Callithrix jacchus: one gene and its partners. The protein of the gene in region 6 interacts with the protein of the main gene of each other region in a biochemical or structural test. Links are inferred from orthologs where the notes say so. Each region holds a gene or a part of one and is shown on either strand. Other genes may lie near its edges.

The links.
Region 1: of the proteins of JUN (region 6) and MAPK9, one has a biochemical effect on the other in vitro, tested with the Homo sapiens proteins (17 studies listed by BioGRID and IntAct, with this or other methods). The link is inferred for Callithrix jacchus from reciprocal best matches to the Homo sapiens genes JUN and MAPK9.
Region 2: the proteins of JUN (region 6) and FBXW7 form a complex in vitro, tested with the Homo sapiens proteins (3 studies listed by BioGRID, with this or other methods). The link is inferred for Callithrix jacchus from reciprocal best matches to the Homo sapiens genes JUN and FBXW7.
Region 3: of the proteins of JUN (region 6) and MAPK10, one has a biochemical effect on the other in vitro, tested with the Homo sapiens proteins (7 studies listed by BioGRID and IntAct, with this or other methods). The link is inferred for Callithrix jacchus from reciprocal best matches to the Homo sapiens genes JUN and MAPK10.
Region 4: the proteins of JUN (region 6) and SMAD3 form a complex in vitro, tested with the Homo sapiens proteins (3 studies listed by BioGRID). The link is inferred for Callithrix jacchus from reciprocal best matches to the Homo sapiens genes JUN and SMAD3.
Region 5: the proteins of JUN (region 6) and RUNX2 form a complex in vitro, tested with the Homo sapiens proteins (2 studies listed by BioGRID). The link is inferred for Callithrix jacchus from reciprocal best matches to the Homo sapiens genes JUN and RUNX2.
Region 7: the proteins of JUN (region 6) and ATF2 form a complex in vitro, tested with the Homo sapiens proteins (4 studies listed by BioGRID and IntAct, with this or other methods). The link is inferred for Callithrix jacchus from reciprocal best matches to the Homo sapiens genes JUN and ATF2.

What each region holds. Positions count from the first base shown.
Region 1 is NC_133503.1:71,332,409-71,336,616, reverse strand, and holds the start of MAPK9 (mitogen-activated protein kinase 9), read right to left. Parts: upstream 2,823-4,208; 5' UTR 2,563-2,822; intron 1-2,562. UniProt on the Homo sapiens protein: Serine/threonine-protein kinase involved in various processes such as cell proliferation, differentiation, migration, transformation and programmed cell death.
Region 2 is NC_133504.1:44,161,779-44,166,264, reverse strand, and holds the start of FBXW7 (F-box/WD repeat-containing protein 7), read right to left. Parts: upstream 2,984-4,486; 5' UTR 1,990-2,983; exon of another isoform or gene 1,899-1,989; 5' UTR 1,823-1,898; intron 1-1,822. UniProt on the Homo sapiens protein: Substrate recognition component of a SCF (SKP1-CUL1-F-box protein) E3 ubiquitin-protein ligase complex which mediates the ubiquitination and subsequent proteasomal degradation of target proteins.
Region 3 is NC_133504.1:111,512,030-111,515,769, reverse strand, and holds part of MAPK10 (mitogen-activated protein kinase 10), read right to left. Parts: intron 3,234-3,740; coding exon 3,051-3,233; intron 1-3,050. UniProt on the Homo sapiens protein: Serine/threonine-protein kinase involved in various processes such as neuronal proliferation, differentiation, migration and programmed cell death.
Region 4 is NC_133509.1:14,107,474-14,111,699, reverse strand, and holds the start of SMAD3 (mothers against decapentaplegic homolog 3), read right to left. Parts: upstream 2,805-4,226; 5' UTR 2,243-2,804; coding exon 2,037-2,242; intron 1,663-2,036; exon of another isoform or gene 1,576-1,662; coding exon of another isoform or gene 1,571-1,575; exon of another isoform or gene 1,549-1,570; intron 615-1,548; exon of another isoform or gene 489-614; intron 1-488. UniProt on the Homo sapiens protein: Receptor-regulated SMAD (R-SMAD) that is an intracellular signal transducer and transcriptional modulator activated by TGF-beta (transforming growth factor) and activin type 1 receptor kinases.
Region 5 is NC_133505.1:53,970,953-53,974,692, reverse strand, and holds part of RUNX2 (runt-related transcription factor 2), read right to left. Parts: intron 2,827-3,740; coding exon 2,761-2,826; intron 1,222-2,760; coding exon 743-1,221; 3' UTR 1-742. UniProt on the Homo sapiens protein: Transcription factor involved in osteoblastic differentiation and skeletal morphogenesis. Essential for the maturation of osteoblasts and both intramembranous and endochondral ossification.
Region 6 is NC_133508.1:95,863,854-95,868,061, forward strand, and holds the start of JUN (transcription factor Jun), read right to left. Parts: upstream 2,896-4,208; 5' UTR 1,925-2,895; coding exon 920-1,924; 3' UTR 1-919. Other genes in the region: uncharacterized protein LOC128928178, read left to right, coding at 4,166-4,167. UniProt on the Homo sapiens protein: Transcription factor that recognizes and binds to the AP-1 consensus motif 5'-TGA[GC]TCA-3'.
Region 7 is NC_133507.1:54,370,265-54,373,721, reverse strand, and holds the end of ATF2 (cyclic AMP-dependent transcription factor ATF-2), read right to left. Parts: intron 3,201-3,457; coding exon 2,974-3,200; 3' UTR 644-2,973; downstream 1-643. UniProt on the Homo sapiens protein: Transcriptional activator which regulates the transcription of various genes, including those involved in anti-apoptosis, cell growth, and DNA damage response.

The DNA of each region.
Region 1 (4,208 bases), on a different chromosome or scaffold from region 6:
ATAAACATATTTTAATCTGTGAACAAATTAAAGTCCTGGCATCCTGAAAATTAAATTACCAGGAAAATCAAAGCTGTCCAGAGAAGACTATGCAAAAATAATATTATTTTTAACTCTGCAGGATCCTTTTGAAGGAAAAAAGTTAAATGGAAGAAAACATTAAATAGACTGGTTGTCATTCTTCCACAACAAGATAAAAGCCAGAAGAGAATACTCTGAGCTGAGGGACCCAGGAAAGAATGCTTATCTGGGGAGCGACCTGGGTTCGAATTCCACTCACCAGCTGCTTGCTTAGAAGTAGCTACTGAAACTCCTGAGCTTCCATTTCCACAGGGCTCCAGTAACAATCAAATAAGTACCTGGGCTGGTACCTGAGCAAACAGGACCTGGCTCCCCTGGCCTTAGGCTACATTTCCTGCTCCTCACAGTTCCTCCCTCCCACACAGCCAATCATGGAGGAGGACAATCCTGCGAACAAACTGAATGAATCTGTATTTGGCTTTACTCACAGCGTTTTTTACAAAAATTAATTAGCTATTGCCAACATTTAAAATCAGAATAAATATCAAGTGCTGCCTTCTTTTTTAGAGACGGAGTCTTGCTCTGTCACCAGGCTGGAGCACAGTGGTATGGTCATAGCTCACTGTAGGCCCAAAATCCTGGGCTTATGGGATCCTTCCACCTCAGCCATCCAAGTAGCTAGGACCACAGGTGCATGCCACCACACCTAGCTAATTTTTAAAAAAAGTTTTTGTTGAGACAGGGATCTCGCTAGGTTGCCCAGGCTGGTCTTGAACTCACGGCATCAAGTGACCCTCCCACGGCAGCCCCCCAAAGTGTCTGGGATTACAGGCATGAGCCATGGCACCCAGCCAAATTCCACCTTCTTCTAGAAAACTACTGGGTAAGGTTCCAGTTCTCTGGGGTCCCCATGACTCTGTGCCCTTACACCTGGCCCTGCAGACGGATTCTCAGCTCTGAAGTGGGCTACAGTCCTTCCTTGGCCATGCTCTTTCACACCTCTGTGCCTCTCCCTGCCTAGCAAATTTCTCAACACCCTCAAGCACCGCCCCGCCCCCACAACCTTCCATCTCCTTCACATTTCCATGGCATAGCCCCTGAACTACAGCAAGTGATGTACAGTCCTGGAACTAAGTGTCTGCATGCCTGCCTTCTCTACTGGGCTCCCAGGCTCTCTTGGGAAAGGGACCCTGTTGCTATCTGCCTTGTCCCTAGGGCCTGGCAGAAAGCATGACCTAGATAATGCAGAATTCAGTAAATGTCTACTGTATGTGTAGAAGAAAGCTAGAACTAACCTGTTATAAAATGTGGGATTTTTCACCACAGCTTGTTCCAACAGTTAGCAATTAAAGGGGTCAAGGACACCAAAATGTTTCACAAAATAGAACAAGCTTCCATCTGTTTACAAGTTTCACAAGTTAATCAAAAGTCACTAAATGAACAGATAAAGCAGAGACAACAGGGAGGCTGGGCCATTTCTTTGACCATTCATTCATTCATTGAGCTGATACTACTGAATACATACTGTCTGCTTTCTAAGCACTGGGGATAAAGCAGTGGATAAATCAGACAGCTATCTCTTTTCACAAAGTTACATCCTAGTGGGGGAGACAGAAAATAAACAGGCAAATAAATAGAATAGTTTCAAACCAGGTGAAAGCCAGGAATGAAATTTTTAAAATAATGAAATAGTATGACTAAGGGAAGAAAGAGGGTGGTCGGGGAGGGCCTCACCCAAAACAAGACATGTCACCAGAGGAAGAAGCAGAAAGGGCTACTTGTACCAAGATCTCGAAGAAAACTCCGAAGATGGTGAAACAGCAAATGCGAATGTCTTGGGGCAAATGTGGGCTGGCATATTCAAGGCGAGCAAGATGAGTGGGATGTGGCCGGTCTTCTGGGGTAGGGGTGTGGTGATAAGGGATGTGGGCTGGGTCCCCTCTGGCACTGCTGGACACTGAGTGTGCAATGACAATGCAAGGGAGAAGTTCGCGGGAGGCAGGAGGCTGGACGGATGGGGAGGGGGTTCCTACTCCACTCACACGAGCAAGGGTCAGCACCCCGCCCAATCTTCCACAAATGTACACCCGAGCCCTGCCCAGGCGTTTGCATACAGTCACACAGCCTGACAAAAACCGTGTCCAGAAGAGACATTTCCCCCACTTTCCCGAAGGCGAAACCGCGGCAGAGGGAGGGTCGGTGCGTTGGCCAAGGTCGAGCGGTCGCGACCCCCGGGCCCCTGGACACCCGACGCAGAGAGCAGCTGCTAGCCCCACCACCGGGAGGGATGGCGCCCGCAGACCCCACGGGCATGTTGGCCGGGCCAGGCCGGGGAGCAGGCCCGCAACCCAGGGTTGTTGACAGTAGGGCAGGAGGCGGCGACTGCGGCATCCCAGAGCACAGGGGCGACAGCCGCGGCTGCCAGGGCCCCGCAGCCCCCGGCCTGCCCCGAAGCCCCGGCCGAGCGGCTCCCCCGCCGCCCCTCCCGGCGGGCCCGGTTTGAGTAGCAGCCGCCAGGCCTAGCCCGCCCGCCGGGCTCACCTCGCCTCCCGGCCGCCGCACCACGGGGAGAGGGCGGGCGAGCAGACTGGCGGCGCTGCGTTCTGGTCACTCCAGGCTCCACGGCCCCGGCTCCGGCTCCGCCGCCGCCGCCGCCGCCGCCGCCGCCGCCCCGCCCCGCTCCGCAGCCGCTCCGCCCCGCCGCCGCCGCCGCCGCAGTAGATGTGAGGGGCGCCAGGGCGCTGCGACCCTTCCGGTCCAGCTCCCTTCGCCTCAGCTGCCGCCGCCGAGGCGCCTGGTCTGACCGACCCTCGGGCAGACCAATCAGCGCGCGGAGAACGAAGCTGATGCGGCCAATGGCTCCCGGTGGGCGGGTCGCTGGAGGGTGGCGGGGGCGGGGCCAGGGGCCGGGGGCCAGACTGGAAGTCCCAGGCCGGGGTTCCGTGGGTTCCGCGTCCACGGGCCTCTCAGCTGACAGGCCACGGCGCTCCGGTGCGCGCCGTACACGCGGTGAGCTGTAGACGTAGGCACTGCCCGGCCCACCCGCTGAGCCCGCGCTGTCTGGGCGAGGGGGCCACGGCTCGGTGGAAGAGGAGGTGGTCCACAGGACCGGGAATCAGGGTGGAGGCGCGCGGGGTTTATGCCGCGGTGTCCGCGGGGAGCCAGGCCTCAGACTGCAGATGCAGGCTCGCGGCGGCGAGGCGGCCTGGAGCGGCCCGGGAGCTCGCCTGCTTCGGGGAGAGCCCGGGGCGAGCGCTGGGGGAGGCAGGCCTGGCGTCCGGGAAGCCTCGAGTCCGGACTCGGTTGCTTGCTGCAGCGCGGCAGGAATGGGTCTATAGGGGTGTGGGTGAGGGCAGAAGTTGGATTGTAGAGGTGGAGGTGGTGCGAAGAGATGGCGGTAGACTGGTGACCCGGTGGGTCGGTGACGCAGGAGGAGAGTGCGCTTGGTGGTGGGGTGACTTAGTTGACAACATTTAAAAAGTGGGACGTGCTCAGTCAATCCTCTGAGAAGAGTGGGGGGCAGGGCGAGAAGTGTCTTGTTCAGGGCCTCCTAGGGACTGGGACCCTTTGACTCTGAGCTGCTTTTGAGGCCGGATCAGGTACTAGTGGCCTGGGGCCGTACAGGATGGGAGAGGCCGAGGCTTGGGATGTTGCCAGATCTGCGGTGAAAAGTAAAGCAGGAATCGAGGCACGGAGACTGGGCACATGGGGAAAACCGCGGAGAGCCGGACTTTGGGGACTGGAAGATGGGGACAGTGGTTGACAAATGTTGAGTGTGGGGGTAGAACAGCAATCACACAATACCAGGATCTACGGAGTGGCCAGGGCCAGCGTGGGGAGAAGGAACAAGACCCTGCAGTTGGGGAGGGGCAGGGGCTGGGTGGCGTGAAGGGTGGTTGCGGAATTTGGGGAGGGCAGCAAGCCTGTGACCCAGGTTCCAAGGGCACTGAGGGCTGGGCCAGGCCGCCTGGAGGCACCAGGGGTAGAGGAAGGGATCCAGCGTGGTGTCGCACCCCTTGGCCACCAGAGGGAGTTTTCTAAATTTGAGGATGGCTCATCGCTGCTTAAAATTCTAGCTTTCAGTGTGGCCTGCATTGAGGAGGGCCCACACCTGTCCTTATCTCAGACCCACCTGTTACGTGCCCCAGGTGCATGAGAGAAAAGAGGAAACCAGAAAATGCCAGGAT
Region 2 (4,486 bases), on a different chromosome or scaffold from region 6:
AGGCAGGAGAATCGCTTGAACCTGGGAGGTGGAGGTTGCAGTTAGCCAAGACTGCACCACTGCACTCGAGCCTGGGTGACAGAGAGAGACTCCATCTCAAAATAACATAAAATAAAATTACCAAAATTTTTAACCAATCTATAGTTAAAGCAATACAAGTAGTCCAAAAGTTAGTGAGCAACTTTGACAGAATGCAACCTACATTCAAACTACAGTTTGTTTCTTAGTTTGTCCTCCCCTCCTTCTCAAAATACAGGTTCTACATGACTACATTTCTCTTTATCATATCTTTGTGAAAAACAAAATACATGACTCTGATTCTAAGTCTAACATTACATCCACTATTCAATATTTTCATGTCAGTACACACTTAAAAGACAGAATTTAAGGTTCCTTACCAAAACATAGTAAGGCAACTAAAGAAAAACAGTACAGTGGGAGAAGTTCCAGAGGAGGAAAAAGTGGTCAAAGAAATAAGAAACATTATTCTAAGACAAGAGTTGGAGAAACTGATGGTAGAAATAATAAAACACTATAAAAGTAAGGAAAGATGAACTGAGGCTTGTTCTGGTATTTCTCGAAACACAAACTCTGGCTGTGTCCTGAAAATTTATGGACACAGGTATGGAATATATAAATAAATTGCCTATGGAATTTATAAATGAATTGTCACATAATACAGAGGCTAATAAACTTGCAGAACTCATTACTTTAAAAGAATAGGACCAAACATTGTTAAGTTTGAGTTTTAAATAAATTTAATCAAGATCCTGAATGGAGAACTTCAGATAGACTGATAACCCCAGGCTTACATTCATTACCACAAAGCAACTCTCAGCAGTGGCTTCAGACAGAAGGAGCCCACACAGTTGTCTAGACGGACCACAATTCTCACTATAGTACTGTCTATGCCTGCTTACATAAAATTCTACTCTATGTTTAACCCTTAAGGACTGTATATGATATGTTAATTACTTCCATGAAACTTTAATTTGGTACTTTGAGAACATTACTAAAATGCAAGTCAAAGGTTTTATAGACTTCAACTTTAAAACAATGGAAGGAAAAAGTCATTCCTGAAAGAATTAAATATCAAAAGTGTATCCTAAATTGATACAGAAATAAAGACAATACAAAATAGCAAAACCTCAAACAAAATTAAAAAGTGTTGTCATTTAAGATGTTACTCCAAAAAAAATAAAAACTTGGTGAAGGGGAAAAAAATCACTTTTATAAAATGATTAATGTGATAAATGCTCTTCCCCAGATAAGCTGTGATTCCTAAGAAATCAAGTTCCTAAGTGAAATCTGTTACAGTGTCTCCTGACACACAGACCCAGGAACTGAGAAGATTAACTCCTGTATCAATAGGTACTAAATGAAAATCTCCCAAGACTGTTTTTTCATTTTTTTTTTTAAAAAGGGAATTTTGCTTTCGGGGGTCCTATATAAGAGTACCCCAGAAACAAAAAGAACACTGTACACACCCACAGTACCAGGAAAAGGTTACAGATACAGATGGCCTCTGTGCGCACACATCCTCTGGCTTCCTCAATTTCCCTTTGCCAATTACTGGCCAGAAAGGTGCGAGTATTCACTCTGAAGAAGGAACTCCTCCAAGAGAAACCTGCATACTTGCATTACTCGTACAGAGTTAAAAAGTTACGAAATACAGGCCTCCCTAACACCTTCTCCCTTCTGTGAATAAAGCTAGACCCTCTTGTGACTCCCAACACTCCTGGGAACATCAGCAAAACTCCAGGAGGAAGCGCCGGCATCCTCCCACTTTCTCCCCTCAATTCCCTCTCACGGGGCCACTCACACTTTAGAGAAGAGCCGCGGCGCCGAGAAAGTGGGCTGGTTCCCTTCCTCCTTCGGACTGAGGCGGCAGCGCGGTCCTGAGGAAGAAGCGGCTCGTGTCGCTAAACCAGGCGGCCACTCGGGTCTCTTCCGTGCTGCCAGGGGCGAGGAGGCGGCGGCCCCGCTTACCTCCTCTTTTCCTCTTCCTGGGTCTTTTCAGGCTGCGACTCCTGCCCGTCCAGGGCCACTTCTCCCAGGACAGTCACGTTTGGGAGGCTCTGGATTTTGTTTTTATAAAGTTTCCTCTGGGCGGAGGCTGTGGCCGGCCCCCCGGATCCCCCCCGGCCCCGCCGCCCTGGGGGCTGGGGCGGGGGAGGGGGGCTCTAAGAACTCCTCCCGGAGTCCAGCCAAGGAGCCGGGGGGCCGGCGACTGGCCAAGGGAGAAGACCCCCGAAGGGGGCTGAGGGGAGGGGGAAGGTGAGGAAAGGACGGCGGCGTCGGTCCCGCTCTCTCCGCCGCCCCAGCCGCTGCTTCACATCGGGGTCCCAGTCCCCCCGGCCGGGGGGGTGGTTGCAGAGCTTGGTTGGGGCCCCGGCTCATACACTCCGGGGCAAGATGCTACGGACCCGGGCGGGTGGCCGAGGCGGCGGCGAGGCGGGGGACCCTGCCGGCTCCGCTCGGCGCCGCCCCCGCTCCCGGCTCCTGCATGTGTCGCTGCGGCTGGGACCCCCCTCCCTACACCTTGGGGGTCCCACGCCCCACGCCCCGGGACGAGGCAGAAGCTCCGGCGCCTCCTCAGCGTTCTCTCACCGCGGAGCAGCTACCCAGTCCCGGCCCGCGGTAGCCGCCTCCCTGCCCCCCAAGCCGCCGGCTCCGGCTCGGGCTCGGGCTCGGGCTCGGGCTCGGGCTCGGGCTCCGGCTCCGGCTCCGGCTCCGGCTCCGGCTCCGGCGTGTGCAGCCTCTGCTGCCGGCCGGGAAGGTGAGGGGGGGAGAGGTGTGCGGCCGCGGCTCCCGCTGACCCAGGTGAGGGCGAAGGTCTCAGCGGCGGCCAGTGCAGAGGGGCTGAGTCTCTCGGATGCTCCTTCGCTCTTACTCTCGGCGGCGGCGGCGGCGGCGGCGGCGGCAGCGCCCGGAGCTCAGTTCGCTGTCTCCCTCGCTCTGTGCGGGGCTCTCGCCTCACTCTAGAGAGAGAGGGGCGGGAGGAGAGCGGCGCCTGCAGATGACGCAAGTCACCTAGCAACCGCTCTCCTCCCCCTCCCTCTTCTTTCCGCTCTGAGGCTTCCTCCGCGGGCCTTTTTTCCTAGTCCAGCCACCCCGCCCTGGGCGCCTCTGGCGCGCTCTGATGACGCTCCAAGGGAAGAGGAAGTGGGGATAGGCGAGCGGGTGGGTGCGCCTCGGGCCGCGGGACTTGCAGCCGCCGCCGCCGCTGCTGCAGCCTCTACGGCCGCGTCAGAACTGAAGAGAGGAAGGGGAGGAGCCGAGACAAGCCTAAGCTGCCGCCCGATCTTACCCCTGACCCGAGGGCGGCCCGGAGAGCTTGCTCTGTAGCGGTTTCCTGCGGGGCAGGTGGGACTGCTCCTTTGGGAGGAAGTAGGAGGCCCAGGCCGCGCCTTCAGGCAACTGCGCGCACCACCCGAAGGTGAGGCATTTGGCTCCAAACAGGCCCTCGAAAAGCCGGACTGATCGAGGAGTTACCCCACGGCCTGATCCACTGCACCTGCCCCAGGGAGAGAGCGCCCCACCCTTCCCGTGGCGTGGGGTGAGACTCAGCGCTGGATAACGTGTGGTCGGGCAGAGCAAATGTTTGATGAATGAATGAATGAATGAATGCCTCCTCACGTGGCACTCGCGAAGCTCATAGGATATGGTGGAAGTGCAAGCGCTTTTCAAACTGCAGTGCATTGTAAAAATGAGTTGTAATACATTCCTCCCCTCCCCCTAGCTATGAAAGGAAACAGGGGTGCGGCCTGAGTACAGAGTCACAACCTGAGTCTTCAGTGGAAAAGGAGATGAAATGCTGGGCAGGGGAAGGAACCCATCCTCGGGCAGATTTTTAGGGCGGCGGGGAGGGAGGATTGGAAGGGAACCATCATCCGGGAGATTGTGGAAGGATTTTTGACTCTCAAGGGAAGAATTTCATTAGTAGTGCCACACTTTTACGAATCGTTCTTTCTTACGGTTTGGAGCTTTCGAGAGCTTCTCGTCTTGGTTCATCAGTGTACAGTGTCATCAAGAAATGTTGGCCTGTGTTTCAGGTCTGACTCAAAGGTTATTTTCTTTCTAAAACAAATATTATTACTATTAGTGCAGCTTTTCCTACAGACGTTATCCTGGAAAGGAACGTCAAGTAAAAACTCATGAAGTTTAAAGTGTAGTTCTCCAGGAAAAAAAATTTTTAATAAAAGGATCCGAATCCTGAGAAATCTGTCTTGAGTGAATAGCATGAGAATGGTCAATCGTATCAGAAAGACATTAAAGCAGCAACAATAATGAAAGCAAATTTCACAATTATGTCGCTGGACCCTAGTACATTCCACCTCCTCTGAAAACAGTAGTAATGGATATTACAAGTATTTCCACCTCGAGGAGGGGTGAGATAGGAGCAAGTGTATTATAAACAAATTTGGGAAGCTCTGGGTTTCTGCCACTACTGCCACCACCATCTGCAAACGGTAAACTAAGGAAT
Region 3 (3,740 bases), on a different chromosome or scaffold from region 6:
CCGAGGAGGGCGAATCACGAGGTCAAGAGATGGAGACCATCCTGGCCAACATGATGAAACCCTGTCTCTACTAAAAAAAAAATACAAAAATTAGCTGGGCGTGGTGGCTTGCATCTATAGTCCCAGCTACTTGGGAGGCTGAGGCAGGAGAATTACTTGAACCTGGGAGGCAGAGGTTGCAGTGAGCCGAGATTGTGCCACTGCACTCCAGCCTAGTGCCTGGTGACAGAGTAAGACTCTGTCGAAAAAGAAAGAAAGAAAGAAGAAAGAAAGAAAAAAATAAGAAAGAAAGAAAGAAAGAAAGAAAGAAAGAAAGAAAGAAAGAAAGAAAGAGAAAGTTGAAAGGTTAAAATATTGTTTATTCTAAATATATGGTAAGACATCAAATTAAAGAGAAAAAATTAAATTGGTTTTCAAACAATCAACATAGATGACTCTGTGGACATGTATCAGTTTTTATTTAATCAATTTTCAGATTAAGACAACTGGGCTAATTCTACAAATTTGAAAATTACATAAAATATAAAAATCAGGAAATAATATCTAACCCCCTTAGCTAGAGGCAATGACTATGATTATTGGCATCTTTTTTTGAGTGCTTTTCATGTACTTTTCACATAATATTAATTATACTACAGTTAAAATATAGCAATTAATTTTTTACCTGTATTTTTTGGTAATTAAATTATTATTACCAATGAGTAATTAATAATAATTACCAATTTACTTGGTAATCAATAAATATATCTTTTAATGTTCTTAACAAATATAAACAAATCACTAGTTAAATCAAATGAGAACTTTTTATTAACCATTTTTTTGAGAAACTCAATCCTAGAAACTAAACTATTATTACTTTTAAATTAAAACTCTGAACGGCACAGGAATAACAAAAATACAGCAATACTTACATGTTTATTCAATAATTAATTTTCTCATTGCCAATGGCCTCCTAATAGCCTAACAGGGCTGTGTTTATTCATTGCTTTAAAGATCTCTTTAATTTGTAACTGATTTTACATCCAAATTCATGTACAATTCTCATAGATTCTCTCATCAAATCTAACCATTTCTTTGCTCTTAGAAAAAGCTGGGATTAGAATGGACTGTTCATGAATAGGATCATGAACTACACCAATACCAAACCATCTTGCTAAGAAACAATGATCAATAATATTGTTAGGAAACAATATGGGAAAATGTTTCAGTGCGTCCTCTTTCATTCTTTCATTTGAAAGCGAATGTGTTATGCTCTTTTCCAAATACAGTAGAATAAATTCTTCTCTTTGGTTATTTGTATATTATGATTATTTATATTTGCCAATTTTATATTAAAAATTAAAATCAATAATCAAATATGCAAACTAGTTTATCATTTACAAAAGTAATATAATTACAGAGATTGAATTAAAAAGTAAATTCAAGAAAATTGTAATTATATTATGAAACATAGTATCTTAATAGCCCTTTTATTGTGATTTCATACAATAGTTGAATGAGGGCTTTGTTGTCTCTTTATTGTTGCAAGTGTCTTCATAAGAAGGGATTACTTTTGCCTGATATCTCAGTTAGTATCACTAAGGCATGACTTCTATAAGATCTTCACTTGGAGTATCAGCTCTTTTTCAAACTGGATACAGGCAATGTTGATCTTAAAAGCAGTAGATTTAGAAATAATTTCGTCCACTGTCAGTAAGAGAGTCCACAGAGGCAGCTGAAGGAAGAAATCCAACTGTTCAACGTGTCAAGAGCACAGAAGCAGGGTTGCACTTTTAAAACCCATTAGATAAAAGTTCAGAGGATATAAAAACATCCTGGAAAACAGTGGCACCACATTTCAGATTCCTCATCTTGTTTAAGTCTTCCTCAGCTATACATATTAAGCTTGTAAGTTAAGTCTGTAGATATTTAATCTGTTCATGTAACATTTGGGACTAAATTTAAAAAGCATATGTCCTAAGTTTTTCTTTTTTGATAATTTACAGATACATCTTAAAACTACTATTTTTATTATATTTAATGTCACCAAGCATCTGCAGTGGGCCAGGCACTGCTCTAAGTGTTCGACAGATTATTAAGTCAATTAATCTTCCCAACAACCCTATAAGGTAGGTTCCCTCTACATTCATTTGTTAAAAGAAGGAAAGAAAAATTAGGTAACTTGCTCAGGGTCATACAGATTTTAAGGCAGAGGGACAAATTTGAAACCAGGCAGGAGGGAAACAGATTTATTTCAACATCAGATTTCCAAAAGTGTCCCAAAGTATAAGAATTTGAGTATTATTATTTATATTACAATTTATGCATTGCCAAATTTATTCTGTGTCTCCAAATGAGACTGAGGCATTATCAAGTCAATTTTGTGGGAGAAGATATTTGTTACTCAAATACATTAACTGCCAACAAAGTGATAGGAAAAAATGACTTATTAATGGATGTGTTTATATTGAATAAAAAATGTATATAAAATCCCATTTACTATTTTAAAATAAAAAAATAATTTAAGCACTCTATAAATTATTTAAAAAAAGAAATTCAGATCTGCATCTCCAATTTGCAACTAAACCTTGCACTGAAAATATTTTTAAGTAATAAAAAGGATTGAAACCATGATTTCAATGTATATATATGTATATTATATTGGTCTTTCAGAGTTAAATAACTTTAGGATTCTAAATAATCCCCCGTGAAATACACAGTGCAAAGCATCATCACACTATCCTTCCCTCTGAATATTCAGACCTAAAATCCATGGTTTCTCCCCTTTGTAGGAAAGATCTTCCAAGAAATACCTCTCTTTACTTGATTTTGTGCCAATTAAAGAACTGATCGATGTTTGAGGTGATAGGTTATACCAATTGCTCTGATTTGACCATATGCCTCCATATACATTTCAAAATATCACCCTGTATTCCATAAATATGCACGATTATCATGTGTCAACTAAACATAGAAGGAAACAAAGAGAAAGAGAGTGACGTCTCTATAACATGTACTTGTTTGGCCCGTCACCCTCATAGTTGTTCTTAAGTCATTCCTGAAGAGCATACCTTTGAGTTTATTGTGCTCAGAGTCCGCTGGGAAGAGGGAATCTGGGAAGAGCTTGGGGAAGGTGAGTCCTGCATACTTGGGCCGATTCTCCACATAGTTTCTTACTGTGGGTTGCAATTTCTTCATGAATTCTGGACATGGTGTTCCTAGTTGTTCAATTACCTTATTCCACTGGTCAATATCTGAGAATTGAACAGTTAAGGGAAAAAGGAGGTGCAGACCACTCGCCTTTCAACAATTGGGAGGCTAACTCTTCTCAAAGTCCTAAACAGTCCATAATGCAACAAGGCATGAAAATGCAAAATCAGACTTGACAGGGTCTGGGTCTTCTTGAAATTTTAAATTCACTTTTGAAACATATACTTTTGAAAAACTAGTAATTATTTAACAAAATAAGATATTATGAAATAGTCTTTGGGTCATACAGATAAAAAGTTATTCAAATAACACAAGACGAATCTCATATTCTTCAGATAAACTTCCATATAATCATGTGCTTTAGAATAAAAATATATAATGACACATTATAGTGATGTTTTTATCCTGAAGTTACCTGTATTATTTATATTTTTTAAATGACAAGTAAACAAATATTTTAGATTATATTTATTTACATTTTCCTAAATTACCTTTGATATTTTTTCTTCTCTAAAAATCTGGAATTTTTTTCTATTTGTAAACATCATGCA
Region 4 (4,226 bases), on a different chromosome or scaffold from region 6:
GCCTCTCCGCCAAGCCATCAACAGCCCACAGATACAGGAGCAACGGCACAGACAAAGGTCCACAGGGCCCTCCCCAAGCTAAAAGGGCTTTAGCATTCAGCAAAGAATGTATTCAGATCTTCAAAGCAGAAAGCAGCGTGGGGCAGCAGAAAGAGCACATGCGGTCAGAAGCCCGTGTCTACTACCCAGGCCTTTGCACCTCTCTCTCCTAAAGTTTTCTCAACTTTAAAAATGTGATAATCTTAGGCCTAACAACCTAACCTACTCTCCAGGGCTTGGCTGGTTGCCTGCTTGCTTTTTTTGAGAACCTCGGAAACCATGTGAAAGTGCTTTGTAAACTGTGAAACACTTTTCACAGCTGCCTGTTGTATAATTAATACCACTTTTCTTTTTCAACGCTTAAAGCGCTTGTCTTCAATGCACCACGGCAGATACGGACAAGGTAGGTTTGGGAGCCCCCTCCCCAGACAGAGAAGTAGGATACTCACCCACTCTACCCTCTCCACCCGCACCGAAGAAATACAGAAGAATTAAGAACCCGAGCTGGAACCAAACCCCGAGGTCTCTCTGACCATCACATCACACCACCTCCTCTGAAGTCAATTCTGGCTCCTGATCACACGCCCAGAGACTTCCCCAGACAGCACACCGCCTTCCCTCCCCCTTTATTGACTGGATCCACCCAGTTAAAAAAGAATTTTGTTTAAGTCCGCACTCCCACCATATGTGGCATTTATTTCCAGGGGAAGCCTGCCCTGAGTTCCTGCAGACAGATGTTGCTTTGTGCCTGCCTGACTCTCCTGGCAGACCTTGTACAACTGCCCCAAGCAGGTGGCCAAGGATGGAGTCCACCCTGGCTCCGGAACAGGGATGACAGCCCTTCATGGCTGACAGTCCCTGGTGCTCTCTAATCATTCCTCTGCAGCCTAGGACCTCCAAAACAGCCACCCCCCAACACACACACTCTCTCCCCTGGTTCGGAATCAAAGAAGACTGAGAGGTAGAGACAGGAGGCCAAGGTACCTCCACCCCCAATTCCCAATCAGGCACAGCTAAGCTAAGGAAGCCCCTGGGGGAGTGAAGTCACTGACCCCTTCTATCAGCCATCTGTGGGCTCCCGCCCGACCTAGCTAGCGCGCGACGGGAAGGATAAAGGAGATCCAGACAGATGGCAGAGCGCTTTGGGAAGGAGGGCTCTACAGGAATGCGAGGGCCGATGCGAGGCCCACTTCGGGGTGTGTTTTGTTATCTGCCCGGCTCCAGCCCGCCCCTCTCCCTCGTTCTGCACGACTCAAAATCTCTTGGACTGAAAGGAGGGCAAAAGAGTCGGGATGAGGGGTGGGAAATGAGGGAGGAGACCCTATTTTCTGCCACTTGTCTCTCCCATTTGGAAGTCAGAGCATTTGCACTGCAACCAAAGTGCGTGCGTGCGCAGGGGGCGGGAGACTGGCACAACCGAATCTAAAAATACTCGATAAAAACGCTAATCCCGAAGGCAAAGAAAGAACGAAGAAGGAATCTGTCAATCACGAGGCTCCCGCTCCTCACCCACAGCCCCAGCTGTACGGACCGCATTCCTGTAGAGGAAAGAAGTGGGGAGACCGGACTGAAGAAAAGAAACGCAGAGACACCACCACCTCCACGAGCGCGGGCCGCGGGGGCGGGAGGCGGCGGCGGAGGAGGGGCTCCGGCCCGCGGAGCCGAACAAAGCGGGCCTCAACTTCCAGCCCCAGCTCCCCGGGGTGGGGGCGGCCGAGTCCCGCAGCAACCCGCTCTCCCCTCCCAGGGGTGGAAAGGGAATGTGAGGTTTGGAAGCGAGAGTGCCGCGTGGAAGCCTCGGGCTCTGATCTTTGCAAATACAGAGATGGTTTTGTTTGGGGTCCCCCCACCCCCTTCCTGCCCCTGCTCTTGCTCCCCACTCTTACACGCACGCACACAGTCTCTCTCCCTCTTCCCATCTCCAACCCCACTGGGTCGGCCCCGCAGTGCCAGGGGGCTGCGCTGCTTGCCCCCGGGTCCCCCGGGCGGGCCCCCACCTGGGGATGGTGATGCACTTGGTGTTGACGTTCTGCGTGGTGATGGCCTTCTCCAGCTCGTCCAGCTGCCCCGTCTTCTTGAGCTTCTTGACCAGGCTCTTGACCGCCTTCTCGCACCATTTCTCCTCCTGCCCGTTCTGCTCGCCCTTCTTCCAGCCCAGCAGGCGCTTCACGATCGGGGGAGTGAAAGGCAGGATGGACGACATGGCTAGGGAGGGCGCGCGGGCGGCGAGGAGCGCCCCCGGCGGGGCTGTACTCGGCGGGAAGCCGGGGGCGCAGAGGGGAGCTCTGCCGGGGCCGGCCTCGGCCGCCCAAACTTCGCCTAACTCTCGGCGAAGTTGCCGGGGCGCCGGGCCGGGCCGCGGCGCTGCAGCCTGCGGGGTTCGGCGCGCCGCTCTGAGCCCGGAGCTGCTCCCACGGCGGGGAAAACGGCGGCCAGGCGGGTGGGCGGACGGCAGCGGCGCCGGGTCGGGAAGGCCCCGAACGCGGGGCGGAGGCGGCGGCCGCGAGACTCCGAGTGGCAGCAGAAGTTTGGGTTTCCGCACGGGGTAGCTGTTTGGGTGCCGCCTCCGGGAAGGAAAGTCCAACCCCCGGCCAAACTTCGCTCGCCTCGCTAGCTTTGATGAGCAGATCCCTCCGCCTCTGCTGCCTCGCAGCCCCGCTGCCCTCCTCCTCCCGGCTCGCCGCTCGCTCGCTCGCTGGCTGGGCCGGCCCGGGGCGTACGCCGCGCTCCCGCTCCCGCTCCCGCCCGCTCCCAGTCTGTGTTTCATGCAAATCCGCGTGCAGCCTCCTTTCCTAGCGCTGTCACCGCCCCCTCGCCGCCGGGGCTCCCCGCCTCCTCCCCCGCGCCCCGCCGCCTCCTCGCGCGGGCGTCCTATCCGCCCCCTGCTCAGGGGAGAGCTCCCGGCTGGCCCCCGGCGGGCCGGCTGGCCGGCCACTTCGCCACCTCCCCACGCCCAGCACGCCCACGTGGGCGACCCGGGCGGCAGCGGTCCTGGCTGGAGCGCACGGGATCCCGCGCAGCCCCCACCTGAAGTCGGGCGGGCGCGGGGAGGAAGTCTTGGGAAAGGCGCGGCGAGAAGGGCCGCGGGAGGGAGGGCTGAGCGCGGCCCTTGGCGTTCGCTGTCGGAGCCCACGCTCGGGCAGCTCGATTGCAGTTGCGGGCCGGAGAGGGTTGGACTCGCAGCAAGCAAGCGCTGTCCCGGCGGGAGTGCACCCTGGAGAGGACCCCAGCCCGGGAGGGGGCGCGCGGAAGGCCCGGGCCCAGGAAGTTGGGGCGCGCACTTGGCCTTGCGCTCGCTGATCCCCGTCAAGGCCCTTGGCCGGCTCCGGCGCCCGGGGGCTGTTTTTATTCTCTCGACGGTGAGATCACACCGGCTGAGAGCCTCCGGAACGTGTGCGAAGCGGGGAGGTGGGGACAAGTGGGTCCTCAGAAGTGGAGAGTTGGGATCTCAGTGACAACCTTGACAATGGCTGGAGCCTGGGGTCCCTTGAGCCTTGTGAAGCGAGTACCCGGCAGAAAATGGGCCTCAAAGACATCTGTTGAATTCTTAAAAGGAATGAATGGGGATGCTTTTAAATTTATCTTTGGAAGAAATTTACATAACCGGGTGTTGCTGGATCTCCTGATAGAGAAAGATCGGAAATTTGACACCCAATAAATGCAAGAGAGTTTTGTTTCCAAAGCAATGAACTCACAAAAAAGTGAGGCAAGACAGGAGTATTTGGGAGTTTATGTATTTAAAAAAAAATAAAAAAGCAAAACAACAACAAACCAACTGGCACATTGTGGAGCTCCGGTCTTTTCACCCCACCAAAAGATTTCAGGGGCGTCTGCCCGCAGGCCCCTTGGTGACTTTCAGGAAATACTCCGGTACCCTGGGCCTTTCTCTTGCTGCGGCCTCCCACATCAAACTAGGCAGTGTCTAAGTCCTTTGTTTGTTTTTAACAGCAGGAATCCCCCACCCCCTACCCCCGCTTTGTTTTTTTGTTTTTAAGTTATCTGCAAACCTTCAAGTGGGTGGGGAGTTACAAAGCCCTGTGAGGTGTGTCGGAATACACAAAATAAGGCCAGAAGCGGCAGGAGCCCTTGCCTTGTCCCAGAGAACCGCCTCCCACAAGCCGGTCTGCTGCTGCTGAAGAGCGCTGTGCGCCTCACCCTCGTCTCTTCCTAAATACCCGCCTGGAAAG
Region 5 (3,740 bases), on a different chromosome or scaffold from region 6:
AAGGAGAAGGCAGGTTTGAGGGATTGGAATTCTTTTTGGTTCAATGGGAAAAGGGGAGGAGGAATGTTCAAATGTAAAATAAAATAATCTATCCTGATCAATTATTTTTGAAGTCACTTTCTTAGAGCAGGAAAAAAAAACAAAAAAAAATGAACCCAACAGTTCAGATGAGGACCTGCAGCATGTCTGAAAGCAGAAATTGGAAGTTATTCTGAATGATGGTACTGTGATGGAAGCGTCCATTCTACCTCATGTCCCTTTAGTGCACCTCAACTGGTTTTGTAAGCTGTCTGTGGAGGGCACTGGTCCATACACAGCTGCCACCATGAGGGTGTGAGGTTTCAGAGCACAGAGAGGAAGCGGCTTTGCTCTTCTCCCTCCTGAACCTGGAGTCCACCTCTCTGAATTGGCATATAAACAGGTTATTGATGATAACAGGCCAAACAACAAAAACAAAAATACCTTTTCCCTTGTTTGTTCCTTTGTAAAAGTGTATCTTAAATAGTAAACAATCTGAAACCCGATTGCAACTATCTCTCTTGAGCCTTCTGCTTCTCAATATCTACCCTCCTATGGCTGCAAGATCATGACTAAGCGAGTGAATGAAAAATCTTCTAAAAAATAGGCACTTTGTAGATAGCTAATCGATATACATATATATGCACTCTCTCTATATATATGTATATATTGATACATGTGGGATGTGACTCCCCAGATACCACTGGGCCACGGCTGAGGAATTTCAATATGGTCGCCAAACAGATTCATCCATTCTGCCACTAGAATTCAAAACAGTTGGGGAACTGCTGTGGCTTCCATCAGCGTCAACACCATCATTCTGGTTAGGCAAATTTGGATTTAATAGCGTGCTGCCATTCGAGGTGGTGGTGCATGGCGGAAGCATTCTGGAAGGAGACCGGTCTCCCCCCGGCACCATGGGAAACTGATAGGATCCTGACGAAGTGCCATAGTAGAGATATGGAGTGCTGCTGGTCTGGAAGGGTCCACTCTGGCTTTGGGAAGAGCCGGGATAGGGTGGTGGCAGGTAGGTGTGGTAGTGAGTGGTGGCGGACATACCGAGGGACATGCCTGAGGTGACTGGCGGGGTGTAAGTAAAGGTGGCTGGATAGTGCATTCGTGGGTTGGAGAAGCGGCTCTCAGTGAGGGATGAAATGCTTGGGAACTGCCTGGGGTCTGAAAAAGGGCCCAGTTCTGAAGCACCTAAAAATTATAACAGAAGACGGGGGGGAAAAATCTGTAAATATCAATTAAAATAATGATAGAATTGTTACAAGAAAAAAAAAATGAAAACTTTAGCTTTCCCAAATAGGAACAGCAAGCCACAAATAGACCTTCAAATGCACCAGTCACTTTACAGTCTTTTTTACCCCCATTTTGCAGTCTTAACAGCATTGATCCTCAAGTTCTTCACCCTCAGAGCATCCCAGAGGGCTTTAAAAACCCACATGTGTGCCAGGTCAATGTGTAAACCAACCCAACACTCTGATCACATAGGTTCACTCACCAGACTTTAAGACCAAATCCTTATGGATTTTTTTTTCTCTTTTTGTTTCTTGTTGCGCATTAGATATTTCAAGTGAAATTTTTACTAAGTCAGACAAGTTTATTTTCCTCAACTCAATATAAAGAAATTCCAAAATAATGTCTTACTCTTTACTCTTGGCAGACTCCTTAGTCAATGAAGGAGCATCAAAAGGATATCCTATCATGTTCCTATCATTTCCTTTAAAGCCTTAAAAGAATTTAAAATCTTGTCATAAGCCTCATCTTGTTAACAGTGAAATCAAACCAGAAACTCCTAAATTCTCTGGAGATGGACAGGAGTGTCATAAGCTACTAGACAAGCCGGTTTTGAAAGTGGGAGTTAGGAGGCAAAAGGGGGCTTGGTATCTTAGGAATCATTGCATTTCAAGTCTTGATGGGAGACTTGTGACCTGATTTAGGCCAGGTGCTGACAGTAGCCTTTGCTGCCTAGGGGAGATTAAGAGGAGGGCACTCCCCACCTATCTCACAGGCCCCAGCACCACATCCTACAGAAACAGCTTCAGGTCAACTTGAAGCAGTAACCTAGAGGCGAAGATGGTTTTCCCCTAAAATGTGAAGTCCTTTCACGTCTAAAGCTAACAGTATGCCTCCTTAATAGACATTCCTGGTGCCTAACTTATGAAACCACCATTATAAACCATTTAATGTGGAATTTACTTTTTTGAAATGCTAAAAATCTTGTAGTTGTGATCTTTAAAGATTGGGTCTATTAATATTTTTTTGGAATTGACAGCACTGTGACAAGCCCTTTTCTAACACCAGTGCCCTTGTTAAGATAATGAACCCTTCTAAAATATCTGGATTATTCTAATCTCATATATTTGTTTTTCCTACAGCTTTTAGCTATAAAGGAAAGCACTAAACAATTCTTGAGGACTTTAGTGAATGGTTACTTCTTCGTCTCATTTTTATTCAGACCTTGTTCTCGGGTATTACAACATTTATTAAAGGAATAATCCGAACGCTTTTCTTTAAAGTTGCTGATTGAAGGTTGTTAATTTTTGTTAAAATGCACACTGCTTAGAATCTTCATAAAATGCAAGGTTTAAGTGCCATGATGTGCATTTGTAATAAAACATGACTCTTTGAAAGCAACACATAGTTAACAAACTCGCAAATCAGACAGTAACAACCAGACAGCCCAGCCCAGCCCAGCCCTGCCCAGCCCAGCCCAGCAATTGTTAAAAGTCTCACCTGCCTGGCTCTTCTTACTGAGAGTGGAAGGCCAGAGGCAGAAGTCAGAGGTGGCAGTGTCATCATCTGTAAAATGAGGGGGATGAGCTCTAAGTTCCCTTCCAGCTCTAATGTTCTATGACCATGAATTCCAAGAGAGAAAGAGAAGCAACAGCCTTAGGGGAGGAGTAGATAGAGAGGTTCCCATCTGTCATTAGTATTTTCCCAGAGTCCGCATGCCCATAAGCAGATCGTAAAAGCTAGTGAGCAGCTTCTAATGCCAGAAGCACTTTCAAGATGAAGAACCAGAACTGACATATCCCAGGCAGTCACTCTCTGCTTTTTATAAATTCTTCCATCCTCAACTAGCTTCTACCTATTCCTCCCCAAAATGAAATTCTGTCAAGCTTAAGTTTAAAAATGTGGAAGCTGTGATTATGCCAGAATCAGAAATGGGAGCAGATGCACCATAACATCTCCCTGCCCAATGCTCGTGCCCTGCCTCATACAATACAGAGGCCAAATGGAGGCCACAGATGTTCCTCAGGTGGCCTCTGCATTGCAGGGCACCTGGGAGACCCCCAAGCAGGCAGAGCTAATAGTGATGGGCAAGTCACTTCTGTATGCATTAAGTTCAATATTTAGATCATATAAGACCAGAATAATGTGAGCAGTGTGCATCAGAAAGAAGTAGTATTTAAAACGCCAAGGTGTGCCCCCTGCAGAAGCATGGAGTTCACACAGATAGGCATGTTAATGTAAAAACTGCTTCTCAGGTGTATTTATACTTAAAATACACTGTAGTAATAATTAAAATTCCATATGGTTTCACTTATTTTGATGCAGAAGCCCCATTAAAACCCGTTATGTGGGGCCCTGGCAGTAAACTCCAATATGGTTTTGAATTTACCCCTCCCCACACCTTCCTCTGAATTTTACCTGATACGTTTTGCTGACGTTTTTATTGCCCATCACATGCCAGGATCACTGTACCTTTTTGG
Region 6 (4,208 bases):
ACCTGACCATAGCATCAGGTACATTTATTTCTAAAGTCTAATAGAGAACAGTTTTTACTGCTTGATAGTAAGAAGCACTGAGAGAGATTTTAATTGACATTCTTAACTTTCAACTCCACTTAGATAGCTAGTATCTATAGATGATGCAGAAAAGAGGTTAGGGGAGTACTTTTCAATAGTTTATTGCATTTTCTTAAATATCCTTTCTGGAATTTTCAGAAACAAAACATAAAAAAATTATATACTTTATTACAAATGGTAAACTCAGAGTGCTCCAAATCTCTTATTTACAAACAACACTGGGCAGGACACCCAAACAAACAAACAAGAAATAACTTACAAAGGCATGAAGCTGTTTATTGACAGTAATCAGCTTTCATCAAATTAAAAAAAATATATATGTACATACACAGTTAACGAAGGCAGGCCAGAAAGAGTTCATCTGCAGGCTCAGCCTCGCTCTCACAAACCTCCCTCCAGCCGCCCCTCCCCAACCCTCCCCCCCACGCTTTGTGTTCTTAAGGAGTACTACAGAAGCAATCTACAGTCTCTATTGCAGTTTGTAACCCCCTCCCCCTCCCCCCTTTAATACTGAATGAGATCGAATGTTAGGTCCATGCAGTTCTTGGTCAATGTTAACGAAAAGTCTAACGTTCCGTTCGCGCGGGGACAGCCCATCCGCAAAGCCGGGCAGCCCGCAGACGGCCGCTCCCTGGCTCCACGCCAAGGGAGTGCGCGCCAAGTCCTTCCCACTCGTGCACACTGGGGGCGCCGTCAGGACGCAACCCAGTCCAACTTGGATACCCTTGGCTTTAGTTCTCGGACACTTCTTTTTCCTCTCCGCTGCAACTTGTCAAGTTCTCAAGTCTGTCTCTGTTATTTTTTTCTCCGTTGCCCCTCAGTCCCCGACAGTCTCTCTTCAAAACGTTTGCAACTGCTGCGTTAGCATGAGTTGGCACCCACTGTTAACGTGGTTCATGACTTTCTGTTTAAGCTGTGCCACCTGTTCCCTGAGCATGTTGGCCGTGGACGCCAGCTCCGAGTTCTGAGCTTTCAAGGTTTTCACTTTTTCCTCCAGCCGGGCGATTCTCTCCAGCTTCCTTTTTCGGCACTTGGAGGCAGCGATGCGGTTCCTCATGCGCTTCCTCTCTGCCTTGATCCGCTCCTGGGACTCCATGTCGATGGGGGACAGGGGCGGCGTCTCGCCGGGCATCTCGGGCACTGTCTGAGGCTCCTCCTTCAGGGCCTGCAGTCGCGGGTGCTGCACCGGCATCTGCTGGGGCAAGTGGTGGGGCGGCTGCGGCGGCTGCTGCTGCTGCTGGGGTTGCGCGGGAAAGGCCAGGCCGGCCGCGCCGTAGGAGGGCGCCCCGCCGCCGCTGCTCAGCGCTCCGGGGTTGAAGTTGCTGAGGTTGGCGTAGACCGGCGGCTCGCTGTGCAGGCTGGCGCTGAAGCCGCCGCTGCCACTGCCCCCCGCCACCGAGGCCACCGCGGGAGCCACCATGCCCGCCCCGCTGACCGGCTGCGCCGCCGACGTGACGCTGGGATGTGTGTTCTGGCTGTGCAGCTCGGCCAGGGCGCGCACGAAACCCTCGGCGAAGCCCTCCTGCTCGTCTGTCACGTTCTTGGGGCACAAGAACTGGGTGGGGGTCGGCGTGGTGGTAATGTGCCCATTGCTGGACTGGATGATGAGGCGCTCCAGCTCGGGAGACGCCAGCTTGAGCAGCCCCACGTCGGGCGAGGTGAGGAGGTCCGAGTTCTTGGCGCGAAGGTGCGGCTTCAGGCTCCCCACTGGGTCGGCCAGGTTCAGGGTCATACTCTGTTTCAGGATCTTGGGGTTACTGTAGCCATAAGCTCCGCTCTCGGACTGGAGGAACGAGGCGTTGAGGGCATCGTCATAGAAGGTCGTTTCCATCTTTGCAGTCATAGAACAGTCCGTCACTTCACGTGAGGTTAGTTTGGGCTGCGCGCAGAAGTTTCGGGGCCGCAACAGCGCTCTGGCAAGCGGGGTACACCCGCGTCCCCCCGGGCCTTTGGCGGGGAAAGTTTCTCTAAGAGCGTGCGCGCCTGCTGGCAGTCGTCCCCGCTGCGCCCTACTCACCAACTCGCTCCTGGGAGCGCAGGGTTAATTAAGATGCCTCCCGCACTCTTACTTGTTGGCTCGCGCGCGCTGCCCGGCTTTGAAAAGTCGCGGTCACTCACTGAGCGATCTTCGGTCGCAGCGGTTCCTCGGAGCCCGCGGGCGAACTCACTTCCAGGAGCGGCGGTTCTCCCAGAGGCGCGGATCAGTGCGGACCCCGCAGTGGCCAGCCGGCGGCGGGTCTCGGCCGCCCGGACTCCGACGACTTGTCCCCTCCTCCGCTGCGAGGGGGAGGGGGCGCCCGGCAGCCGCGGCTTGCGCTCGCCCAAGTTCAGCAACCAGTGCGAGCGAAGCTGAGCGCACGTCCTTCTCTCGCGCGTCTCTCCAACGCCTTTTGGTCTTTACCGCCGTCGAGCAGCCTAAGGCGCAGGAAAGGCTTGCAAAAGTTCGCTCCGGGACTCTGGGCCACTTGGCCCGGGTCCTCCCAGCCGGGAAAGTTCTTTGCCGCTGCAGCCGCTCGCCGACGTCCCCCGGCGGGCGCGTGGGTACCGCTGCTCTCCGCCGCTGTCAGCAGCGCTTGGGCAGCGGGGTTCTTCTCCCGGGGGCGGCTGGAGACCAGGCTCTCCCCGCACTCCTCGAAACACCAGCCCCGGAGCCACAGGCGCTAGCTCTGGGCAGTTGGAGAGAAGATGGAAAAGAAAAGATTTGCAGCTCGGACTCTACTGCAGTCCTGGCTGTCTGGCTGTGTCTGTCTGTCTGCCTGAGACCGCGCACCTCCACTCCCGCCTTGCTGCTTCAGCCACACTCAGTGCAACTCTGAGCCCTTATCCAGCCCGAGCTCAACACTTATCTGCTACCAGTCAACCCCTAAAAATAGCCCATGATGTCACCCCAAGGCTTTCCCATTGGCTCGCGTCGCTCTCAGGGGGGCGGGCCCGCCCGTCGCCATGGAGACTCCACCCTAGAAGATTCTTCTCTAGGCCCGCGGAGGCTCACGGGATGAGGTAATGCTCCGTTGCCCTCCTACAGTCGGTCCCTTCTTTCTCCTCCCCTCCCCCTGCCGCACGCCTCTCGGCCCTCTCTTCCCTGGTCTCCTCCCCCGGCCGTTTTTGCTGGCCCGCCCGGTGCATTGTGGGCTGACGTCTTGGGGTTTGACTGTCTAGTGACGGTGGCTGCCGCGAGCGGGCGGACGCTCGCAACGTCTCTGGGGTGGGGGGGGGCGCTCAAGTTCACGGCTCCGGACAGGGATGCAGAGATGCAGGGGATAAGGGGACGCGGGAGGCCAGGGAACCCGGCCAGTTGTTGGGGGCCAAGGGTGCGGGCGAGGGGTGGTTGGGGTTTCTCCACTTGTGGGGCTCGAAGTCATCCGCCGGCGTCTGCCACCGCGCGGGGCAGGAGGCTGAGAATCCAAGTCTGTGGCCCCCCCCGCGCACTTCCGGGGGCGGGAGCACCGCCCTTAAGGTGGCTCTGTGAAGTCCCAGTTGGGGGCGAGCCTAAGGGCGCTTAAGTTTGGGGGCGGTCTCGCGAGAGTCGGCCCCCCAAGTTGAGAACGCTCGGAACTTTGTCTTGGTCTAGTTCAGGAGCGATGGTCCGCGGGGTCGTCTGGCTGCTCATAGAAGCCGAGAAATTTGTATTGCCCGAAACTGAACGCTCAGCTGAGTCTCCGTTGCACCTCTCTTCATCCTCCGGGGACGCGGGGGTTCATAGCTTTGCCTTGGAGGGGCAGTTTTTATAGTGAGAGCAATTAGTGGGTAACAGGGTCCAGATGGGAACAAGCATGTAGGCAATCCGAAACTTGGGGAAGCCCGGTGTTAGTATACTCCCCCTCCCGCCCCCGGACAACACGCACACGCTTAACACAGCACGCTCAACACACAGGCGCGCGCGCGCACACACACACACACACACACACACACTCCATCTGCGCCGTGTTGCTTCCGGGAAAACAAGCCCAGAAGGCGGCGGACGCTCGCATAAAGTCACGCAGTAGAACTCGGAGCCCGGGATAGAACCTGGACTTCAAATCTCTGCACTCCGGGCCGGGTTGTGGGCCCATATCCTGGGTAGCCTCTAGGAAGCGCTAGACACATGTAAGTGGTTCCTTTTCCGCGGTTGTTATTTTATCTCCCCA
Region 7 (3,457 bases), on a different chromosome or scaffold from region 6:
GCTGCTGTATTGAGGTTGGGTTGTGGTGGGCAGGGGTGAAAGTGAAAAGACATTTATGAAGCAAGTACAGTAACTGGATGAGGAATCATAAAGGCACAGATCAGGATGAAAGCCGTATAAATGGTGAGGATGTGGTTGAATTCTGGATTGAGGGTAAAGGAAATAGTATTTCCTGATGGGTTGAATGTAGGCTAAGAAAAAGAAAAGGGTGACAACTAGGTTGTTCTAGCTTAAGCAACTGGAAGAATTGTGTTGTCATCAATTGACTCATGAAAGTTTGTATGAGGAATATGTTTGAGGGTAGGGTGAGCTGTTTAGCCGTTCAGTGTTGGACCTGTTTTGTTTTAGATGTTTTGTCAGGCCATCACCAAGGGATACCAAAGGCAGGTGGATCTGCGGCTAAAGTTCAGGGGTGTGGGGAATTACATATGAATTATATAATTCATTATATATGAATGGGATGCAAAGTGAGTGCAAATAGGAACAAGGCCTGAGTACCCTGCAGTAAAAAGGAATGAATGAATTTGATCACAAAACTAGAAAGAATTCAGGTTCTTTTCAGGTAATAAATGTCCTGAAAGAAAAAAAAAATCATTATCAGGTGATGTTACTTCATGAAGGAAAGGTAAGAACAAGCAAATTATGAACATAATTTAAAGATAGAATTTATTCTCTGATGGTTTACTCATGCAAACTGCACATAAAAGAAAATAGTACAGTTTGTGTAACATTGCAAATATAAGGACTGAAAATGCTAGGTACAGAAGTAGTATGACATCCTGAAAGTCAAAATGGAATTTGTGTTTATACAACTAAGAATGATTTTTTATTTGCTCAGTACAGATTGGTTTACAATGAAAGTTTTGCTAACCTTGGTAAGCTTGTTAACCGTTTACATGACTTCTTACATCTATGTAGTTTTATTTTACAGTTGCAAGAATTCTGTTACCAAAGAATTTAACTTGCATAAGTAATAAGATGAAAGAAAAATGCACGAAAGGACTTAAGAGTGAAAAATTGAGGCTTTTCCTAACCCATTCAAACTGCAATAAAAAATAGCCTTCTTGCAGAATTCATATTTTGTGCCTTTGAGATAACTCCTTAATGATTTGAAATTACTTTAAAATAATGAAATTAGTTAAAAATTAAAAATTTTAGAAGAATTGTCAAATAAAAATGCTCTCATTTTAATAAGCTAAACAATAAAATTCCCATTATCTTCATACTTAAAGTCCTGAACTGTCATTTATATAATTTGAATGTTTCCCAGTTTGGAACTTAGGCAGGTGAGATATTTTCCTTGAATTATCAAGGATATTCCATATAGACTTTTAAAATGTCAGTCTCATTAGGAGATGGCACTGAGACTTTAGCAAATAGTGTAGTATGGATGCAGGACAAACTACACAACTTATTATAAATGCATTACAGATATTTACATAATGGAATCCTGCTTGAATGCCAGAAGTTGCTACTGGGTAGGACTCATACTATTTTACAAAGTTTTCTTACGCACATCTACTACTTTAAAAATTTTATGTTTAACAATTTATTCTATTTTAAAATATGTACTGTATTTTGAACATAATTGCAGAATAAAAATAGATAATGGCACATTAGAAAACTAAGTATCCCACAGATGACTGGATAATGAGAAAAGTGTACCTACAATCATCTCATCAGAAACAAGCTACATCATGGAATGTTAGTTATCCAAGCCTGCACAATAATGACATTTTAAACTGCAATCATCTATTGGCCAGCATCACACTGAAGGCATCGTTAAACATTCAAGCAAAGATTGCTGGCATAAACTATTGAAAGACACACATACACACCCACACACAGACACACACACACACTCTCTCTCTCCCTCATGCACACTTCCCACATTATAATTACATTGTTCTAAAGATAGATACTGATTTTTTTCCACGAGAAACATTATCAAAATTTGCTACTAAAAGATGACAGTGCTTTCACAAGAATTAAGTACAAGTTAGCTCGCAAGTACAAGACAATGGGGGTAAACAGTCTTAAATTTTCTAAGTTGTAATTGTAGGCTTTTCTGGCAACCATACCATACTTAATTATGCATAAACTTTGCAGTTTGTAACCTGAAATCTGCAAAAACAACAACAACAAAAAAACAAAAACAAGAGCTAATTTAAAAAATTATTAGATATTTGATAACCCTGTATAATACATTATATAATTTCATATTTTTTAGCCTCAAAACATAAGTGTAAAATATCGAATTTAAGACTTGAAAAATAAAATCGTTTTGAAATGCTGAAAATTCTAAAATTTACTTAAAATCTTAAATAAAAGGAAAATGCATTATTATAAATGACCTTGATTTAGCTTAACAATGTGCATAAAAGCACTGTATGTCTTTACCATGTTTTCACTCACTTAAAAAAAAAGTGTTCTTTAATGTTTTTCCTTTTGCATAATGTGCAAAATAAAAGGCAAAAAGATTAAAAGCAAATTTCTTTCTCTTGCCTAGTGCTTTATGACTCCGTTAACATTACAAAGTCAACAGGGACTATGCAGAACTTTGGTATAAATGATAATACTACTACCATCACAGTTGAGGGTTAAGGGGTGGTCAAAAGAAATGGAAGTGGGAAGAAGGATTCAGTAACACCCCCATTTATTAAAACACCAGCAAATTAAAAGTGAAATAAACCACAATGAATTATAATACAATTTATACACTGAGCACAGAAAAATTAATAAATCTAACAATATTTATATTAAAAAAAAAGCAAAATCAGTCTTTCTCCAGAGACTAAAAGCTGTTTTTCAGTCTGATCAACTGCTGCTACACAAACTTTAGAGCCAAATTTAATTTCAAGTAAAAAAAAAATTTACAACCACAGATTTCGCATAAATGGAAACTGGTCTTTCCTTGATTTCCCTTTGAAGTCACTAATGAGTATCTAAAACTGTTGTACTGCAGGTTTTTAATCAACTTCCTGAGGGCTGTGACTGGGAGGAAGGAGCCATAACGATCTGTGAAAGAGCAGGCTCTGTACTCTGGTCCGCCATCTGGGTGAGGACTGAAGTGGCTACAGCTTCTGCCTTGGAGGTTGAACTGACTCCATTGGATGTGCTGACCGAACTATGTTGTATAGCTTCTGTATGTGGACTGCTCGGCACTGAAATGTCTTCTGAACTATCATCTTTATCAGCAGCTGAGTGGAAAAAAGAAAAATTATTCATTTTCTTAAAATCTGTAAGAATACACCATTATGCTGAGGCAATATACAGAGTAAAAAGTTAGAAGGTATCTATCTTACAAAACTGTTTAGACAAGTTGGTATTACAGGAATTGAGTATAGGTCATGAATTAGGTAATTTTACCTGCAACAGGTCAAAAGAAGGCACAACCATGAATATGAAAACATCTGGGTGCCCACTGCCTTATGAAATAGAGCTGAATAAATATTTG